Caenorhabditis elegans: one gene and its partners. The protein of the gene in region 1 purifies or fractionates together with the protein of each later gene. This does not show direct contact. Each region holds a gene or a part of one and is shown in the gene's direction. Other genes may lie near its edges. The genes, in order: alh-1, tald-1, agxt-1 and gta-1.

The links.
Region 2: the proteins of alh-1 (region 1) and tald-1 fractionate together in Caenorhabditis elegans (co-fractionation; one large-scale study listed by BioGRID). This does not show direct contact.
Region 3: the proteins of alh-1 (region 1) and agxt-1 fractionate together in Caenorhabditis elegans (co-fractionation; one large-scale study listed by BioGRID). This does not show direct contact.
Region 4: the proteins of alh-1 (region 1) and gta-1 fractionate together in Caenorhabditis elegans (co-fractionation; one large-scale study listed by BioGRID). This does not show direct contact.

What each region holds. Positions count from the first base shown.
Region 1 is NC_003281.10:5,075,945-5,081,199, forward strand, and holds alh-1 (Aldehyde dehydrogenase domain-containing protein), read left to right. Parts: upstream 1-1,820; 5' UTR 1,821-1,821; coding exon 1,822-1,914; intron 1,915-2,626; coding exon 2,627-2,755; exon of another isoform or gene 2,756-2,802; coding exon 2,803-2,999; intron 3,000-3,340; coding exon 3,341-3,618; intron 3,619-3,664; coding exon 3,665-4,411; intron 4,412-4,472; coding exon 4,473-4,561; 3' UTR 4,562-4,717; downstream 4,718-5,255. Other genes in the region: Inactive tau-tubulin kinase ttbk-6, read left to right, coding at 1-24.
Region 2 is NC_003282.8:4,384,840-4,389,402, forward strand, and holds tald-1 (Transaldolase), read left to right. Parts: upstream 1-1,811; 5' UTR 1,812-1,818; coding exon 1,819-1,882; intron 1,883-2,593; coding exon 2,594-2,957; intron 2,958-3,342; coding exon 3,343-3,716; intron 3,717-3,768; coding exon 3,769-3,926; 3' UTR 3,927-4,041; downstream 4,042-4,563. Other genes in the region: F55F10.1 (Midasin), read left to right, coding at 1,281-1,412; rpl-7A (Large ribosomal subunit protein eL8), read right to left, coding at 4,337-4,505, 4,560-4,563.
Region 3 is NC_003280.10:8,843,879-8,849,433, forward strand, and holds agxt-1 (Alanine--glyoxylate aminotransferase), read left to right. Parts: upstream 1-1,719; 5' UTR 1,720-1,761; intron 1,762-2,351; 5' UTR 2,352-2,444; coding exon 2,445-2,501; intron 2,502-3,182; coding exon 3,183-3,341; intron 3,342-3,407; coding exon 3,408-3,486; intron 3,487-3,533; coding exon 3,534-3,642; intron 3,643-3,685; coding exon 3,686-3,884; intron 3,885-4,068; coding exon 4,069-4,196; intron 4,197-4,246; coding exon 4,247-4,342; intron 4,343-4,387; coding exon 4,388-4,646; intron 4,647-4,704; coding exon 4,705-4,829; intron 4,830-4,879; coding exon 4,880-4,886; 3' UTR 4,887-5,024; downstream 5,025-5,555. Other genes in the region: F46C5.6 (Serine/threonine-protein phosphatase 4 regulatory subunit 4), read right to left, coding at 1-141, 225-370, 561-608; oac-46 (Acyltransferase 3 domain-containing protein), read right to left, coding at 5,343-5,555.
Region 4 is NC_003282.8:10,179,048-10,184,478, forward strand, and holds gta-1 (putative 4-aminobutyrate aminotransferase, mitochondrial), read left to right. Parts: upstream 1-1,612; 5' UTR 1,613-1,620; coding exon 1,621-1,660; intron 1,661-2,116; coding exon 2,117-2,226; intron 2,227-2,910; coding exon 2,911-2,980; intron 2,981-3,022; coding exon 3,023-3,120; intron 3,121-3,444; coding exon 3,445-3,783; intron 3,784-3,830; coding exon 3,831-4,493; intron 4,494-4,578; coding exon 4,579-4,710; 3' UTR 4,711-4,892; downstream 4,893-5,431. Other genes in the region: mspn-1 (Mitochondrial sorting homolog), read left to right, coding at 739-894; ptrg-1 (Tyrosine-protein phosphatase 4), read right to left, coding at 4,903-4,962, 5,013-5,146, 5,337-5,431.

The sequences.
Region 1 (5,255 bases):
GCCGAAGTGGATTTTGTTCTTTAAAAGTGGGAAGAAGCTTGAAAACTAGAGATATATGAGATTTGAATAAAGGACTAGAAAATGATTTTGTTTTGCTAAATTAACAAAAACTATGAATCCTCAACTACAGTTGGCTCCTCCTAATAGTTCATCATCTTAGAGCTAATGAAGTTCTGGCGTCCAATATCTTTTGGCAGATTTCAAAAAAAAAAACGAACATAGATCTTTCGGATTCTAAGTTTAACTGGAAGAATTAACACATTTGTTCACTTCAAGATTCATCTGGTTTCATTGTTGACAACATGAACCTTCGAAATTGTTGGTTAAAGTTTAACATTAATTTTGTTTACAGCTCCAATAGTCTCTTATGGAAAACAAAATTTAATATTCTATCCTACAGTCCTTTCTTTTCAACTGTTATTTAACATTTATGAATCATGTTCCATTATGACCTAAGACATATTGTGGCCTATACAAATTGTGACCTATGACATATTATCATTACTTTCAAACAATAATCTTCAAGCGACCCGTGCTTCTCATGCTTGTGAAATGCTGAAATGCTTTTTTATTCAACTGTATGACATTTTTCAAACATGTGCAGAGAAACTTGAATGCTTTCATTTTCTCAAAAGATTCCCACGGCTGACGATTTTTTTCTTGAAGCCCGAAGCCTAATTGATATGATAAAAAAAACTTCAGATTTTCGTTACATTCGTCCTTTTTTTCTTGTTACTTCATTAAGCCAAGTGTTGACTTTGTAACTGCTTTCTCTGGAGTAGAGTTTCTAAAGGTTCGTAGTGTCTCGCCACCAAGCGCGCTCTGTTGAGCAAGGGCACCGCGCCAGTTTCGAAGTTTCTTTCTATTTTAAAAACATTTTTAGCTCTTTTTTTCGGATTTTCTCGCAGTTTGAGAATATTTTCCTGAATGTTTATCTTCCGTTTGAATTAAGATCGCGTTTCCTCTCAGAATTAAGTTATATCTGTCAATAAAAACAAATCTCAGCTGAAATGCTTGCACGTTTGTTTATTTTCTGCTGGTTTTAGGCAGGACTAACGATGAATCTTGTTGTTAACCACTCTGTTTATATTTGATAATTCTTAATTTTGTAGTTGATTTCTGCTGAAACTATTCCTGTCTCTGTCGTTCAATCTTTCCAAAGTTTTTCATTTATCATCATTTCCAAAGATCCCATCTCGACATGGAAATATTAAATGGTCAAGGGTTAAATCATGTTGTGCAATACTTGACTATTCTTCAGGACTCCAAAAAATTCTCATTATTTTGTGCTGGTTCTATTCGAGCACGTGCTTCTTCATCTTTTTGTTTTCGAAGATGTTTCGTTGAAGTATATTTGTGTGTGCAGTTCTCTGCATCTCCGCCTTTTTGACTCCTCCTCTGTCACTTTTCAACCATCGCTCAGTGTTCTCTTATCTATTTCGACCCTAACCATCGAGGCTGGCGTGTTTGTCCATTCTTTTCATATCTAATCTTTAGTTTTCTCTATTTTGTTTAGAGTTGAATTTTTGGAAGAAGATTAGTTAATCGATTTTGAATAATTTTGTCAGAAGTCTCTGCAATACTGATATTCACTTTTTGCCACAGTTTTTAGATATACTGATTCGATGTTTCCGAATTACCACTGGAACTAGTTTATTTTCTATTTAATTAAAATTTAAAATGTTCTATGAAGAAACGAGCTGCTGTGAACTCACAATATCTAACCTCATTCACCTGTAAATTTTTATTTTGCGTCCTCTTTCTAATTTCTTTAAAATCTTGCCTTATTCGGGTAAATCCTTTATAATTTTTATTTTCAGAATGCTCCGTTCAGCTCTCCGGGCAACAGTTCAGGCACGAAATGCCTCCGGTGTTCCACCAGGTCTTTCCAACATGAAACCACAATACACCGGCGTAAGTTTCTCAGAACGTTGTTTTAAAAAAATTGCAAAAAAGATAGGAATCACACAGGATAACCTTGAAAATGGAGACAATGTTGAGAGAGACTCTAATTTGAATTTTGAAAGAAAAAATTACGGAGCCCATTGGATCGCCAATTTCTAAAAACGTTGATTTTCAAGTAATTTGTGTTTAAAGAAAAAGAAAACAAAAGTGGAAATTGTGCATCGAATCTTATTGGTTTTTCTCAAAAATCCGTATTTTCCGCGAAATTCAAAGTTACAAGAACATCACATTACGTGCGCTTTGAAACCGCCGTTATCAGAAACTGCAACAGAAACCAAAAAGATGAATTTGAACCTTTTGATCTGTTTTTCTGCTGCAAAAATGTTCTCTTCTCATGTTTTCATTACATTATTTCAACGGAACCACGTGCCCTCAACGTTGTGCTCTGTTGTGTACCTAGTACACAGAGTACGATCAATTTAAAATGATGATAATAAAAAGAAAAAGAAGAGAGCTGATACTATCTCATAGGGAAAACGTGGTCGCCTGAGGTGGAGAACGAAATGAACAATGAACTCGGTCAACAGTGAGATAGGGCAATCAAAACTGAACGATGATCGGATTTGAGAAAATAAACTTAGAGGGCAGAATTAGGACGAAATGTGATACTTCTCCAAATCAGGGATTCAAATTTCAAAAAAGTTTATATCTAAATTTCCAGATCTTCATCAACAATGAATTTGTGCCAGCCAAGTCTGGAAAGACTTTTGAGACTATCAATCCAGCCAACGGAAAAGTTTTGGCTCAAGTCGCAGAAGGAGATAAAACAGATGTCAATATCGCTGTCAAGGTTTAAATCTAAATTCGAATTTTAAAGCAATCTTCAAACTTTTCTAGGCTGCTCAAAATGCATTCCGTATCGGCAGTGAGTGGAGACGAATGGATGCTTCTCAACGTGGAGTTCTTCTGAATAGACTAGCTGATTTAATGGAGAGAGATCGAGTTATTTTGGCATCTTTGGAATCTTTGGATAATGGAAAGCCATATGCAGTTGCTTACAATGCTGATCTGCCACTTTCTATCAAGACTCTTCGGTGAGTTCGAATAGCATAAATTGGAGAATTTTGCTGTAAAAAAATCCCAAAATAGTCTGTAATTAAGAAGAAAACTCAGAAAAAACGAAAAACTTTACTGCCAAATGAGCAAAGAGATCTACAAAAATAATTTCGAATTCTCAATTTTATGAGAGAAAAAAATCGAAAAACAAAAATTTTTGATTGTCCGGACAACCGTAAATCAAAAAAAACTGTTTAGAAAATTAACAGCCAAAAAATGCAATTTTTTGAATCAAATTTTGTTTGTATTGATGAGAAAAATTAAAATTTATTGTAAAAAAAGGAAAAATGGCTAACATTAAAAAATAACTTTATTACAGTTATTACGCCGGATGGGCTGACAAGAATCACGGAAAGACTATTCCAATCGAGGGTGACTACTTCACTTACACTCGTCACGAACCGGTGGGAGTCTGCGGACAGATTATTCCATGGAACTTCCCACTTCTTATGCAAGCTTGGAAACTTGGACCAGCGTTGGCTATGGGAAACACAGTCGTTATGAAGGTCGCCGAACAGACTCCACTTTCAGCCCTTCACGTGGCTGCTCTCACAAAAGAAGCTGGATTCCCAGATGGAGTGGTTAATATCATTCCAGGTCAGTTTTGTAAAAATTGTGAGTTTCTCAAATAAATAAATTCCAGGATACGGACATACTGCCGGACAAGCTATTTCGTCGCACATGGATGTTGACAAAGTCGCTTTTACTGGATCAACTGAAGTTGGAAGACTTGTTATGAAGGCTGCTGCAGAATCGAATGTCAAGAAGGTCACTTTGGAACTCGGAGGAAAATCACCAAACATCATTTTCGCTGACGCTGATCTCAATGATTCCGTTCATCAAGCCAACCACGGACTCTTCTTCAATCAAGGACAGTGCTGTTGTGCCGGATCCAGAACATTTGTCGAAGGAAAGATCTATGATGATTTCGTAGCTCGTTCCAAGGAATTGGCCGAGAAGGCTGTTATCGGAGATCCATTTGATTTGAAAACTACTCAAGGACCACAAGTTGACGGAAAGCAGGTTGAGACTATTTTAAAATATATCGCTGCTGGAAAGAAGGATGGAGCTCAATTGGTGACTGGAGGAGCCAAACACGGAGATCAAGGACACTTTGTGAAGCCAACTATCTTCGCTAATGTTAAGGATCAGATGACTATTGCTCAAGAAGAAATCTTTGGACCTGTTATGACTATCATTAGATTCGACACAATGGAAGAATTAGTTGAAAAGGCTAATAACACTATTTATGGATTGGCTGCTGGAGTTATGACTAAGGATATTGATAAGGCACTTCATATTGCCAACGCAACCAGAGCTGGATCTGTCTGGGTTAATTGTTACGATGTGTTCGATGCTGCTGCTCCATTCGGAGGATTCAAGCAGTCCGGTAAGCTAATTTATTATTAAAATTTCTCCATGCCAAAGTTAAAAAATACTTTTTCTTTTAGGAATCGGTCGCGAACTCGGAGAATATGGTCTTGAGGCATACACTGAAGTAAAGACTGTCACCATCAAGGTTCCACAGAAGAACTCATAAATTTCTTGAATTTTCGCTTTCCCTGTAATTTTTGTTCCTTTTGCTTTTTTTTTTGAAAAATGTTTATTGCTCTTAATATACGTGTTGTATTTATCTATTTTTCACATATATTGAAAAAGAATTCTGAAAGAAATAGACACCTACAGGACGACTCATAAAAGTCTCGACTTCTTTGTGAATTGATTGATTCAGGACAAACGAATTATTACTCTGTACATTAGAGGATCAGTCGTAAAATCTTCAAAAGGCAAAAATTTTACGAGCTTCCGGTAGGTTACGCGAAATTTTAAAAAAAATTTGGAACGCTTCACGAATTTGCGTGTCATCCTTGCGCAGGGGCCATGCTAATCTTCTCTGTATTGTTCCAATTTTAGTATATGTTCTCGGAAGAACGAGACAGCCAGGACCAGTTGTTGCTTATATAGTGGCCACCTGCAAGGCGGCAGACATCTCGTGGGTTCCGCAATTCTCCGTCAAGCAACTCAAAAAGGGCAAGAATCGAACCAAAACTTGATACTTATTTCCGTCAATAACTTTTTAGCCAATGAATCGATATTAATAATTTTTTATGTGTTCGTTCTACATGTCATGTTTTAACAGGTAACAAAGTTTCAGAAAATTTGAAGCATTTCTAACGGAGATAATAGGCAAATTAGACAGCATGTTGCAGCACAATTATTTCACACACCTTAAA
Region 2 (4,563 bases), on another chromosome or scaffold:
GATAGAATTTCGCAAATTTTCATTCAAAAAATCACATTTTCAACATTCCAGGATTTTTTTAGCTAGAAATCGGGGCAATTTAGTGAAAATTTGCCAATTTTGGTTTAAAAAATCAACATTTTCACCCAAAACTTGTAATTGGCATGTTTAAAATTTCAAAATCAGACGATTTCAGTTGAAATCTGCTATTTTTGACTGGAAATATGTTTTTTTTCAAAAATATCCCAGTTTTAGATTATTATGGGTATTTTTTAAAGAAAAATCCAATTAAAAAAATATACATTTTCCATTTTATTTGAAGTTACACTCTGAAAAAAAAATTGTTTTCGAGGTGACGTAGCACCATGCATTTTCAACATTTTCCTCCAAAATTAGTGTCAAAGTATAGAAAATTAGTTGATTTATCTGAAAATGACATTTATTCGACTGAAAATTTGAGAAATTGCTCAAAAAAGGCCAGAAAGTTGACAATTGCCGAAATTAGTCAACTTTCAAGCCATTTCTGGGCATTTTCTCGAAGGCTTCAGCTGAAATTAATGTTATTTTCAAATAAATCGAGTGATTTTTCATATTTTTAAACTAATTTCAAGTTGTAAAAATGTTGGAACAACATGGTGCAACAGACCATTTTCTAGAATTGCCGCTCATTTAAAATACCCAAAAAATGTGTGAAATTTGATCATATTTGACTACAAAAAACGTTTTTTTTAATTTTAATTTTTTAAAAACTGGTAATTTTCCATTCTCGATATTGAACAAACGCCGAGGTTACGGTAATTATAGGATTTTCAGCAAAAATTTGCTTTTAAAATTACAAAAGTTTTTTTTTCGTTATTTCAGTCTTCTATGGCCGATTATTTGTATATTTTTAGGTCTGAAATTTAAATTTCAGTAGACTTTTTTGGCATTTTGACGATTTTCGCTTCAATTTTGACCTAAAAATCGATAATTTCACATTTTTAAATAATTTTTTGCGGAAAACTGTCTGAAAATGTGAGAAATTGTGTTTAAAATAATATTTAAAAAATGAAACAAAAAATTGAAACTAGGTCAAAATATTCGAAAGGAATTTCGCAAATAAATTTCAAAACTCAATAAATTTTCCAATTTTTGAAGATTTTTCCTTTTTTTCGTGTTAAAATTCCCAAAAAAATGTGTGAAATTTGATCATATTTGACTACAAAGAACAATATTTACTTTCTTTTTTTTCTCGAAAACCCCCCGATTCTCTTGCCATTTGCCCCCATAAAACTGCTGACAATTTCCAATTTTTCCTGCAGGTACTCACGCCATACCTCGCCCTGTTCCCGTTCCCATTCTACGCTCTCGTCAAATCAGTTCAACAACTACCATCGGTGATTGCCGAATCGATTCGTCAATGGTTCGAAATGACGACGACACATCATAGTTGAGAGGCTACAAACTACAGACTGCAAACTACACACATTTAGTCATATTCTTGTTTTTTTGTTACTACTTTACTTTATACCTTTTTATCATCATTTTTGTTACTTTTTTTCGAAAACTGTTTTTCTCACTTCCCTACTCCTTTTATCGTCATTTTTTTATGAGTTGTTACTTTTTTTTTGAAATTTTCCCCCTTTTTTGTTATTTTTTGTTCATTGTTCATTGTTTTCACATTGGTTAGTCGAATTATCATTATCATTATATCTATTAAAAATTTGAAATTTTTTTGATACGGTTTTTGTTATCTTTGATGCTATCAATGGGCTGCACTTTCCATTCGATCTCTCTCACGCGATTTTTCCCGTAATTTTCACGATTATTGATTTTTTTTTGACTTTTTCTAGGGAAATCATGTCGGTTTTGGAACAACTCAAAGGAGCATCAGTCGTTGTTGCGGATACTGGAGATTTTAATGGTAAAAATTTTGAACATTAAGAAAAAGTTCGAAAATGTGGTGAATAATTGATTTTTTTTGGCAGTTTTGAAAAAAAATTAAATTATCTGAAAATTCGATTTTTCTAGGAAGACCACTGTTATAATGTAAAAAACAGTAAATTTCTCGATTTTCAGATAGAAATCTGACTTTTTGAACTTTTTAAATTAATTTTTTTAGAGAAAAAAATACATATTTTCAAGAAGTTTCCAAAAAATTCGTTAAAACATTTTAAAAATAAATACTATTAAATTTTATGGAAGTATTGTAAATTTCTGGAATGTGCCATTTAAAAATTAGAATTTTTCAAAAATTCCAAAAAAAGCTGTGAAAAACTTTTTTTGGATAATTCGATGAATTCTCTTTTTTCTAAATTTTTGTAAATACTGGTGAAAAATATTTATTTTGAAAAAAATGTGTTTGCGCCTTTCAAAAGTACAGTACCCAGACGTTCCTTCAATTTCGTTTTTTTTTTCATTTTTCAACGTTTTCTCTCAAGAATTTAGATGAAAAGCGTGAAAAATTAATTTAAAAAATCAGGAAATGGGTTACTGTAAGTCTTAAAGGCGCACACCTTTGTTTTTTTCCTCGATTTTGTGTAAAAAGTCAAAAATCGAAAAATAAAACTCGAATTTTCCAGTTGAAAAAAGTACTTTTTTCAAAAATTGTTCTCAAAAAATCGATTTTTTTCAGCGATCAAGGAATTCCAGCCAACAGATGCAACTACCAACCCATCGCTCATCCTGGCCGCCTCAAAAATGGAGCAATACGCAGCATTAATCGATCAATCAGTTGCCTACGCAAAAGAGCACGCCAGTGGACATCAAGAAGTGCTCCAAGCGGCTATGGATCGACTTTTTGTAGTTTTTGGAAAAGAAATCCTGAAAACTATTCCAGGAAGAGTTTCCACAGAAGTTGATGCTCGTCTTTCATTTGATACTCAAGCATCGATTGATCGGGCTCTTGGACTTATTGCTCAATACGAGAAGGAAGGAATCTCGAAGGATCGGATTCTTATCAAACTTGCTTCAACTTGGGAAGGAATTCGGGCTGCTAAGTACGGCATTGGAGATTTTAGGAAAACTTTTCAGTTAAAAAACTTTTTTTTAAAAATCAAACTTGATGAAATTTTACCCATTTTTGATGATTTGCTTGGTTTAAAACACTACTAGTTTCGAAAAAATCAATTAAAAAACGAATTATACAAGATGAAATTGTTAAAAATTAACACATTTTAAATTAAAAACTAGAAATGCTTCGATTTTTCTTGTAAATCACCTAAAATCTACGGACATACCTTTTCGAAACATACAAAGTCTCGTTTCTATTAGTTTTCTACTGAAAATCTACTCAATTGGACCCAAATTGACATTTTTCAAAAGAGTTTAAGGCATTAATTATAACGGAAATAGTTCAAAATCAGCAAAAAATTAAATTTTCAGATTCCTCGAATCTAAGCACGGAATCCACTGCAACATGACACTGCTCTTCAACTTTGAGCAAGCAGTCGCGTGTGCCGAGTCAGGAGTCACCCTAATCTCGCCATTCGTCGGAAGAATCATGGATTGGTTCGTGAAGAATACCGATCAGAAGGCCTACACTCGAAAAGACGATCCAGGAGTTGTCAGTGTTACTCGAATCTTTAATTATTACAAGAAATACGACTATAAGACACAAGTGATGGCTGCCTCGTTCCGTAATACTGAAGAGATCAAGGGACTTGTTGGATGTGATCTTCTTACTATTTCTCCGGCTCTTCTGAAGCAACTTGCTGCGGAGACGGAACTTGCTCCAGTTGTGCTCTCCACTTCTCATGGTGAGCGGGAGATTTAATCAATTAAAAATTGCAATTTTTAATTATTTTCCAGCCAAGACACTCGACCTGCCGAAAGTGAGCATTGACGAGAAGGCGTTCAGATGGGCTCTCAACGAGGACGCCATGGCCACCGAGAAGCTCGCCGAAGGAATCCGCAACTTTGCCAAAGACGCCAGAACTCTGGAGAAGCTTATCGAGGCAAAGATCTAAATTGTATTGATTGATGTATTTGTCGTGCTTACTAGTTTTCCCCAATTTCATCAGTGTTGTGATTTCCCCTTAAATATTTCGTTACGTATTTTAATGAACCCTTATGTAATTTAAAGAGCACTGTAAAGGCAAGATACACAAAATAGCCGAACTCTTATCGCACTCTGCAAGTTTCTGGACAGTTGTGGCTGTGACACCCGGAATTGAACCCAACTAGAATTGTTCAGTGAAACCATATCGCAGACAACCAGCAAGCTCCAAGACAACGACGAACTAGGGAGACACTTCTCGGGAAAACTGTTCTCAACAATATCCAACAAGACCGATCCAAATGAGTACCACGAAGACTACCAATTATTGAAAAAGATACAAGCTTTGAATAACAAGTTTTTATTATCAACAAAAACAATTTAGAGCTTTCCAAGATCACGGGCACGAGCGCGCTCGATCTTGAGCTTCTTGGCATCAGACTTGGCGGACATGACACCTCCTCCCCAGTGCTTGCGGATCTCCTCGTGACGCTCGCTGAAGTTGTTGTTGACGGTCTCGACGAGCTTGTTCAAGGCAGATTTGTCCTCTCTGAATACAAAGAAATAATTATTTGCTCAAGAAACTATAGAATCTGAAACTTACGGGT
Region 3 (5,555 bases), on another chromosome or scaffold:
AGGTCTAGGTTTGATTTTTCAATTTTCAAACATTTTTGAATTGCTGGTAGCATTTTTAGAAGGCACTTTTCTCCGTCGGAGGTGTCCAGAATGTCAGGAAATGTGCGAATTGATGTGAGCTTTTGAATTTCAGTTCCGTCTCTGAAAATTTTATGGTATGAACGATTTCCTTTTTTACAAAATGTCGAAAAATCAATTTTGATTTTTTAATTAATAAATCTTACTCTAAATTGATTAGAGCCTGATCCAATGGTGATCTTAGCAATTCCTCAAGATCTGGATCTTCTGCCATTTTGAATAGTTTTTCGAAATCCAACTTCATTACAGGAGGTTCTTTTTCTTCTGTCTCGTCATCTTCAATTTGATCATGCTGGAAAACAAAACGAATTCTATAAAATCTTTTCTGAAGAAATTTTGGTGTGAAAGCCGTTTTAAGTAGGCAACTACTGCAAAAATTTAGTATATTTTCCAATGCCTAATTTCATTACTCATTACTCATTTTCACAATCAAAAACTTAAATTTCTAAATCTCGTTTTTTATCATTACAATTATGCCTTACTTTAATATCAACTATAGATTCTCCATCCATTTCTGTGGCAGCGACCATTGAAATGTTGGAAAATGTGATTAGAATATCTGAAATTTTTCGAAAATCAATTTACAATAAGATGAGACAAAGAGCAACACGAGAGAGAGATAAGATAAACGAAAAAAGAAAAGAGTCAACAGTTTGAACGTCCCGCCTTTTTTTCGCATGATCCATCAAGAGGTAGGGGCAGCTCTTTAGATGCATTTTTGTTCGGCAAACAAATGAAACACATTTTCAAAATGGTTTGCGTTGGGCAAGAAAGTTTGAAAGTGTGGTTAGATATGACGAGTGATCTAGAATGATGCAGAAACAACATGATTCTTCAATAATACAAACTCTTTTTGCTTTGGAATGTAGAGGAGGTGGAGGAGAAGCAGGAAGAGGCAGCTGTGACTCCCGGGCGATGAGCAACTATCTCTATCCTCTCGAAACATTCAAAATGATTGGTGAGACGCAGACATCAAGTCGGTGTGTAAAGATATTCGGCCAAGAGGATCGGGATCGAAGGGCACGCTTGTGATCCAGTGTGAGAAGTTAAAAGCGAGGGAGGAGATGAAGAAATGAAGACGAAAAAGCTCAAAGGATGAAGCTGAAGAAAAAAAAGATAGAGAAAGATAGTGTTCACAGCAAAAACAGACACTGAAACCGGAGAGCTTCAAAGATCACGAGACATCACAAATTTGAGTTGACCTGTAATTGAATCCAACTCGATTTCGAAAAACCTGAGCAGTTTTCTTATTTTTATCAATAAAATGTGCAATTGTTCAAAACATTTCAAAATGTGCAATAAACTCGTGTGATCTGGAAAGTGTTCTTCACGAATCAGTACTTTCCGAATTCTCAAGGTATCTCCAGGCATACAAGTGAATTGGCTGAAAAACTCATTTATAGATTTGGGTAAAGAAAAATGTGAGGAGATTTCAGACGAAGCTAGGCGAAATTCAAGGAATAAGATGTAGAAGCTAAATTTGAAAATGTTCAGAAGTTAATATCTCAAAGCTTTATTATTTTTCCAAAGTTAACACAAACCAATGAACTTTTAAATATTAATTTCTAAATTTATTCATCGTATCAATTTCTGTAGACGTGAAATGCTATTTTCATGGAAATGAAACTAGAAAAAAAATTTATTCCGAAGTCTAAACTTCTCTGGATCTGCTCGTTGTTCGAGGTAAAGTTCAAATTAAACTCTCTTGAAGTTGGTAATCTTTCTCGATTTGTATTGTTTTGAGTAAGATAAGTTGGTAGTCCTTAAATTTTCTAGTTTCATTATTTGGTAGACAATTTTGAAAAATGTTTTAATGTTTTTTTGTAGCCATCTGACTAATTCCACGTCATTGATTAGACCACTTTAGTTCCCATTATAGCTTATTGTTCGCACTTTATTAAAATTTTAACTGATTTTTAAACTGTGTATTTAAAAAATTCCACTAGTTTTTTTCGGATGATCTCCTAAATCTTGAAACGTTATTTTCTAGATTAACGGAAATGTGCCAATGAACTATCCATAAAAATTATGCTCAAACCAAATTGCAAAAAAGTGTTGTTTTCCACTCAATTTCCATAAACTATAAAATAACCACGAGGTTTTCCCCAGTGCACTTTCAAGTGTTTCTTTGAACTCTTCTCTAAAAATTGACCGATCTCTGGGTGTCTTCTCGTTATCATTTATACCATCGACTGGTCATTTATACATTGTGATAAAATAGCCCCTCAGTCAGTCAGTCAGTCAGTGAAAATGAAAGAACAATGTACTTTGAGGAGTCACAGAGATATTTGCCGCCTGCAGGACAACCTCCTCAAGTTTTCTTCTCTACCTCAATATTCTTCCTCAATTGATTTAATTTCGAAGATATGATTTCAACGCGATTTCTAAGACCTTCAGTCTCGATTTTTGGATTTGGAATTAAGGTGAGTTCAATTGGTTCAAAAATAATAGGTTTATTGAGTACACAAATTGGAACCGCCTCTGAGAGTTTATTGTCATCATACATCAACATATGTGTTATCATTGATGAAACTGTTCATTGATACAATCTTTTTAGTTACTGCAATTATTTTATATTTATATGCCATTGTTCATTAAAAAAAGTTTTTGAAGGTTTTTTCCTTAAAAAAAATTATCTAACAGCATGAAAATTATGTCTTTCGAGTTCAAACTCTAAAATCATGTACTTGATTTTTACAGTATTTGGTGAAAAAAAAACCCACTTTGATTTATGGAAAATTTCTAACCATCTAGTATGCCGTTTGGCATTCGACCCTTCAACCCTTCTCCCCTAGACATCAAACCAATTCTTGACCATTTGGACACACCGTTCAATCTCCTCTTGACCAATTGGTTTCTCTGTGTCTCTACTCCATTCTACATGCAAATAGAGCGCATTTCATATTAGTTCCATGTCAGTACTGCGAAATGGAAAACATTTTAGTTAAATTTAAGATCAGTTTTTCGTTAATGTTTTGTTTTTAATAACATTTGTTTTGAGAACCACGTGTTGAACGACCTTTTAGTTATTATATTCTCAAATTATCACTTCCAAATCGATTACCATGTTCTTCGAGTATTTATGTATTTTACTTTTTTTCCAGTCATCAATGTCGTCTCGTGCTCCACCAAAAGCTCTTCTGCAAGATATGGTTGTCCCACCGCGGCAACTTTTTGGACCAGGACCATCGAACATGGCTGATTCGATTGCTGAGACCCAATCTCGCAATTTGTTAGGACACTTGCATCCAGAATTTGTTCAGGTATCTTTTTATGTTTTGTTGGAAAAATAGTAAATCGAAAACTAATTCATAAAGCTTTAATTTCAGATTATGGCAGATGTTCGTCTGGGTCTTCAGTATGTCTTCAAAACCGACAATAAGTATACGTTTGCTGTCAGTGGAACTGGTTAGTGTGCATATATCAACTTTCTCAATATCAAATCTAATATTCAGGTCATTCTGGAATGGAATGCGCGATGGTTAATCTTCTCGAGCCCGGGGACAAATTCCTTGTAGTAGAAATTGGACTTTGGGGACAAAGAGCTGCTGATTTGGCTAATAGGTTTTTAAAATCAATATTCTTGTTACAAATTAAAAATTGATAGAATGGGAATCGAAGTTAAGAAGATTACTGCTCCGCAGGGGCAAGCAGTTCCAGTTGAGGATATCAGAAAGGCAATTGCTGATTACAAACCAAATTTGGTTTTTGTCTGTCAGGGAGATAGTTCAACGGGAGTTGCTCAACCATTGGAAACAATTGGAGATGCTTGCAGAGAGCATGGTGCTCTGTTCCTTGTTGATACGGTTTGTGGTTTTTTTTAACTTTCTCGATCCTCACCATTTATTTATAAATCTTACAATGTTTCAAAAATTAACGGTTTTGTTTCTGAAAAGTTTAAGGTGTTTTTTAATGTAGTAAAATTGAAATTTGCCGAACGAGTCTCAAAATTGAAAATAGATGTTTAATGATCAAAGTTTTCATTTTCAGGTGGCGTCCCTCGGTGGAACTCCATTTGCAGCAGATGATCTGAAAGTTGATTGTGTCTATTCGGCAACCCAGAAAGTTCTCAACGCTCCACCAGGACTTGCGCCTATCTCATTCTCCGATCGAGCCATGTAAGAATAAGAAACAAAACACATATAGTTGCATTCCTCTTCATTTTTAGGGAAAAAATCCGGAACCGAAAACAACGCGTCGCCTCGTTCTACTTTGATGCCATCGAATTGGGCAACTATTGGGGTTGTGATGGAGAATTGAAAAGGTTGGAAAAAACTATGAAATGATGAAATTTATTGAAAAATTTCAGATATCACCACACTGCTCCAATCTCCACTGTATATGCTCTTCGTGCAGCACTTTCTGCAATTGCAAAAGAAGGAATTGATGAATCAATCCAAAGACATAAAGATAATGCTCAAGTGTTGTATGCTACTCTGAAAAAGCATGGATTGGAACCATTTGTAGTGGATGAGAAATTGAGATTGCCATGTTTGACTACTGTGAAAGTACCGGAGGGTGTTGACTGGAAAGATGTTGCTGGAAAAATGATGACAAATGGAACGGAGGTAAATTCGAAAATCCACCAATTTGAAGTTTGAAAACCGTAACTTGTTTTAATTTTAGATTGCTGGAGGACTTGGTGCAACTGTTGGTAAAATCTGGAGAATCGGAACGTTTGGAATTAACTCGAATTCGACAAAAATCGAAAATGTTGTGGAACTTTTGTCGAAATCAATTGGAGAGAAAAGGTCAAAAATTTAATTGATCCGTTTCCTTATCAAATTATTTATATTTTCAGCAAGTAGATCCATCAGTCGTAGATCCATCAATTTGTGATTTCATGCTAATTTATGATTTATTGTAATTTCGTATGCGTTTTGTATGAACATTTTAAATTTATTTAATGTTTTTATGGGTTTTAATTTGAATGAACAAAAAACAAGAATTTCTATTTACATGATAAAAATAGAAGAAGCGAAGGAAAAACAGTCGATGACCGGGGGAATAATCAATTACTGAAAGACCATCAAGAAAGAAGAACAGAAAAATTTCAACTAATCTAAAAGAAATGTAAAGCAAATGAAAGAGGAGCTAACAAATGAAAAAGTGAATGGCGGAATGAAATGAAACAATTTAAGAAATGAATGAGACTACTCGTAATGAATTCGGGTTGACAAGGAAATGATCACCCACTATTTACCTCAAATGTCCCGTGCCTGATGAAAATGAATTTTTGAGTCAAAAATTAAAACAATTAGAAATTAAGCCTTATCGGAAGGCTTTAATTGAATTTCCGAATCTGTTGGTGGACTCGGTTTGAGTGTAGTTTTTGGTGGAGAGGCAAGCAATAACCTTTCGATATTCAGAGCTGGAAGTTCACTGACCATTGTGCATATTATGGCAAAGAAATATGTAATGAGAAGTTGAACAAAACAATGAATGAAGAGTGGAATTTGAGTATTGAAATATATTGG
Region 4 (5,431 bases), on another chromosome or scaffold:
TATTATTAGTTCGCTTTGTGGCTATATATGTCACATATATTCTAGTGGAATTCGGTAACGAAATATTTAATATAAATCTGTTCAACATGAAAAATTGTAGACAATAATATATCTTGGATTTCCTATAAAATCCAATACATTTTTAACATGAATTAATAGTGAAACAGCAAATAAGTATATGTGTTTTTATTGAAAACTACGAAAACTCGATTAAACTTTTGCAACAACGAGAGTTTGAAATTACAGTACTCTTTAAAGGTACACACCTTTTCATAGTTAACATAAAATTTCGTGTCGAGAATATTTGGGGCAGAAATCGCAAAGTTTTGCGAGCTTCATGAGAATAAATTGCTGTTTCACAATTAATTCATGTTTCTAATGTGAAAAATGCATTGGATTTTAAAGGAAAAATGTAATTTGTAATATGATAAAATGTAATATAATTGTCTACAGTAACCTTAAAGGAAAAAAAAATACAAATAAAAACATTAGTGAAGAGAATTGTATATATTTAATACAAGTTGTTCTAATAGTGAGCTTGAAAAAACTTACAATTTTGAATTTAATTTTAAAAAAACTCATTTAAATTATTTCAACTTCTTCCAAAATCATCTAAAAATATTTAGAAGTTAGATACACAATAATTAGCTTAAAAAATAATACGCGTTCGAAAATTTTAAGTTTTTATGTTACAGGAAAATGAAACGCCAATAATCGTGTTGTTATGTAATTTTTCAGGTTTGTCGTCTTGCTCTTCTCGCTCGAGCAAAAGCTACTGTAGCTTCTGGAGGTTCCGTAAATCAACTTCTTCCATTGGAACAGTCCGATTTTGAGTCAGCAGTGCATAAATATATGAGAGCCGCACATTTACTTGTTGAAGAAACACTTGATTAGTCTTAAAAGTTCAAGAAACGAATGTTTTATTTCATGTAAACTTCTATTTCTTTTTCTCTAAAAGTAGTCCATTCGTTCTTGTAGGTCTCAATTTATTATACCTTTTTGTAGTATAAAGCTAAAGAAATGTAACGGTGCTTTGACTTAAAATCGAAAATCTTTTTTTTTATTCCCCGGAGCTTCTAGAACAGATTCAAAAACTAATATTTCTGATTCCTGATTTTTTACTTCCCTATTCTTATGTATTGCATTGATTTAATAAGTACGTTTAGATTACCGGTTAGATTGTATTCTCTTTTTCTCTTTTCTTTCACTTGTCGATATCTCCAGAATCTGAAGAAACAATAAATCGATCACGTGACCCCATCTCTTTGTGTCAGTTGTCCTTCCGATTACACCCTTCGTGCTCTGCGAGCCTTTTTCTTTGCACAACGTGGAGCAAGTTTACACCATTCACAGGCTCAATATAAACGTCTTCCATTGGCTTCCAATTTTTCAGTTTACTTCTTCAAACAATTTTCACTAGAAAACGCATTTATTTCCTTCACTAAAAAACATAAGCTCCTCCCCCTGCCTTTCTCTGCGTCTCGTTTGACGCCTAAAAAGAGAAAACGGGAGAAAAAATTATTCGGTTTTCTCCTGCCACTTCAAATTTTACTCTTCTTTCTCTTTGTTTTTTTCAAATCGATTTTCGAATAATTTGAATAGTTTTTTTCAGAAGGAAGAATGCTTCCCAGACTGGCAAAGTCATCTTTAATCCAACAGGGTAAACCAATTAATATATTTTGGATTCAACTGGGATTTATTTAGGAAATAATTTAACATATAATTTTTGATTTTGAAAAACCTAACCTGCAGCTTTTTAGTTCTTCTAGATACATTCATTTTCAACCCTTTTTACTTGCATCTTTGACCTAAAACACATTGAAAAAGAAACAAACAACACTTTTTTGATTCTCTTATCAGTTTATCAGTATCACAAACATTAACGAAGGCAATTGATTTTTCTCGAGTAAAACCGAATAGGGAAAAGATCAGAAAAACTGAACGATAAAATCGAAGTTTTGGTAAATTGGCAGGTATTTTGATATTCACCACATGTTTCAATTTGGAAGATTAAAAAAACAAAATTTTCTGAAATTTTAAAAAAATACTAAAACACTTCAACACCATGAGAATGTTTCCAAAAAATGCTCTGACTCAATTGAAACGTTTATTTTAGTGCGTGGAGTTTCGGCGATTGCAAATGCCGAGCCATCTGGACCTAGTATTTCAACGAGCATTCCTGGACCAAAGTCAAAGGCGTTGAAACAGGAAATGGATAAAGTTCATGTAAGAATTGAGATATCGAAAGTTAAATGGTTTTTTTAAACATCATGGACCTTAAAATACCTTCAAATTGTGATAACTTATTTTTTATATCTATTCTAAATCTTATACGCTCATTATGTATTGGTTTTAGTTTTTGACAATTATTCAGTGGCGAAATCGCTTGAAATTACTTTTCAAACAAAAACTTTGGCTGAACTTTCTGACAACTTGCTCAACAGAAGCTCAACATTGTCAATTTGATTCTAAATTATTAAGAATTATAAGATAGATAAATTATAATTTTAGATTACAAAACATTATTAGCTATTTAATGGTCACACAATTGCGAAGAATTTCGAGCCATTCAGTTCAATTTTCAAATCAAAAACCAACATCTCAACTCCGTAATTACATGAACATCACATTCTTACCCTTATCACAGAACGAATGAAATTCGTCTCAGAAATATTACACTTTCTCTGGTCAACTGACAACTGACATTCAGGAGTTTTGATTATTTGATTTTAGTTTTTTTAATTTCAAATCTTCAATTTCATTGATAATACAAAAAATAAAATAATATTTCAAGGAAATTTAAATTTTATACATATTGTCAAAAATACTGTAGTTATGAAACATATGAATCATTCCAAATGCAATATGAGATTTCAAAATTTTATAAAAATTAAAAAAATTTTTTTTCAGCAAACTACATCCGTTCGTTTCCATGTCGACTACGAGAAATCATTCGGAAATTACGTTGTAGATGCTGATGGTTAGTTTTTATTTTCAGTTTACACACCAGGATTTAATTTAGGAAATGCACTTCTCGATGTCTATACTCAAATATCATCTCTTCCTTTGGGATACAATCATCCAGATTTGGTTAAGGTCGCTTCGCAGCCACATTTGATTGTGAGTTTTTATAAATTGATTTCAAAATCAATTTTTGAACCTCTTACAATCAATTGGAGCATTCGAACTTAGCCTTCCATGTACGCATGAAAATGTTTTACGCCGCATCCGCATTCAGGCACAAATACAGAAATTAGGCGGTAGGCAGTCAGGCAGGCAGGAGGAAGGCACATAATGACCATATTTTCACATTAACCGTACACCTAGAAACCAGTAAAAAATTAAATATTAAGTGATTTGCCTGTCTGTAATATTTGGATAAAACTAAAGAAAACAAGATACTTACTGAAAAGTTGAGAAATGTATTAGAAAATAAATTTTCAGACATCTCTTGTTTCTCGTCCAGCTCTTGGATCCTTCCCACGTACCGACTTTGCTGATGGAATTTCTCATGCTCTTACATCAATTGCTCCAAAAGGATTGAAGGCAGTTCAAACAATGCTTTGCGGTACATCGGCCAACGAGAATGCAATCAAAACTGCATTTATCTGGTATCAAGCTCAGAGAAGAGGAGGTCTTGGACCAGATGCTCTTCATTTGGAAAGCTGCATGAATCAACAGAAACCAGGAACTCCAAATCTTTCAGTTATGGGATTTGAAGGAGCTTTCCATGGAAGATCTTTGTGCATGTTGTCGGTTACCAGAAGTAAGCCAATTCATAAGGTATTTCAAAGTTTTATTTCGAAACAATTCTAATTAATTATTTTCAGGTTGATATTCCAGCATTTGACTGGCCAATTGCCAAGTTCCCCCGTTATAAGTATCCACTTGACCAGAATGTTGCATACAATAAGAAGCAAGATCAGGAGTGTCTTGCTGACGTTGAAGCGAAGATTTCCGAATGGAAACGTCGTGATAATGATGTAGCTGCAATTATTGTTGAACCAATTCAAGCAGAAGGTGGAGATCATTATGGAAGTCCAGCATTCTTCCAAGGCCTCCGTGATATTACTTCTAAACATGGAATTGTATTCATTGTTGATGAAGTTCAAACTGGAGGTGGAGCAACTGGAGATATCTGGGCTCATGATCACTGGAACTTGAGCTCTCCACCAGATATGGTCACATTCTCAAAGAAACTTTTGACAGGAGGATACTTCTACGGAGAACATCTCCGAGTTAAGGAGGCTTACCGTATTTACAACACATGGATGGGAGATCCGACCAAGCTTCTTCTTTTGGAAAAGGCTGTTGAGGTTATTAAGAGAGATGGATTGATTGAGCAGAGCAGAGAAGTTGGAGCTGAATTCCAAAAGAGACTTGGAGAACTTCAAGCATCGTCTGGAGGAAAGTTGGATCAAGCCAGAGGAAGAGGAACTTTTGCCGCCGTTGACTTCCCATCTGGATCTTTGAGAGACAAATTTGTTGACTTGGTAAGCAGAATTAATAGTGATAAATGTCAAATTCAGCCATCTTACATTTATATATTAAATTTCTTAAACTTCAATTTAATTTTAGGCCATCAGCAACGGACTTCACTGTGGAGGATGTGGAGACCGTTCACTTCGTTTCCGTCCATCACTCGTCTACACCAAAAAACATTTGGATCTGACTTTCGATCTTCTCGACAAGACTTTGAAGGGATTGTAATCATTTTTTCTTTTGTTTTCTCTTTAAAGCTGTATCCATTTTATTTGCTTCGCTGACCATCTAGCTTGTTATTATTTCAAAATATAATTAATAAATTAAATATTCATTTATAATGACACCGGAAATTGATTTTTTATTGTTTCTTCTCGGGAAGTTATACTTCGGATCGATTCCAATTGAATTTATAAATTTTTAGACACGTGTTCCTCCGACTAGCTGTGACATCTTTTCATAGATTATCTCGATTTCTTGCTGAAAACAAAATAATTTGGTATTGGAAAATGAGATAATTCGATTTTCACCTTCGAGGCAAAAATACCACACTGAATTTCGGTATACGATGAAAGAACCTGTACCACGTCAACACAACCCGTTGTCTCCAGTTGACACGCTAAAGTTGTGGCTGCACAAATACTGAATGCAAGTGCTGTATCATCTGAATATTCATCAATTTTGTTATAAATATAATATAATTAAAGTTTAAAGTATTTACAGATCATAGTATGTACGTTTCTACGCACACTACCATTTTTAAACTAGAACCAAAGGGGTTTTTATAAACTCCAAATTTGTGTTACAAAATTTTTTTGAACCAAAAATATTGATAGATATCAAGCTATACTCACCATTAAACAAAATAGAAAGTGATAATGTAGAAGTACTATCTGTTGGTGATGGAACACTTGGTGGGTATTTATGAGCCAGAATAAGCAATGGAGCA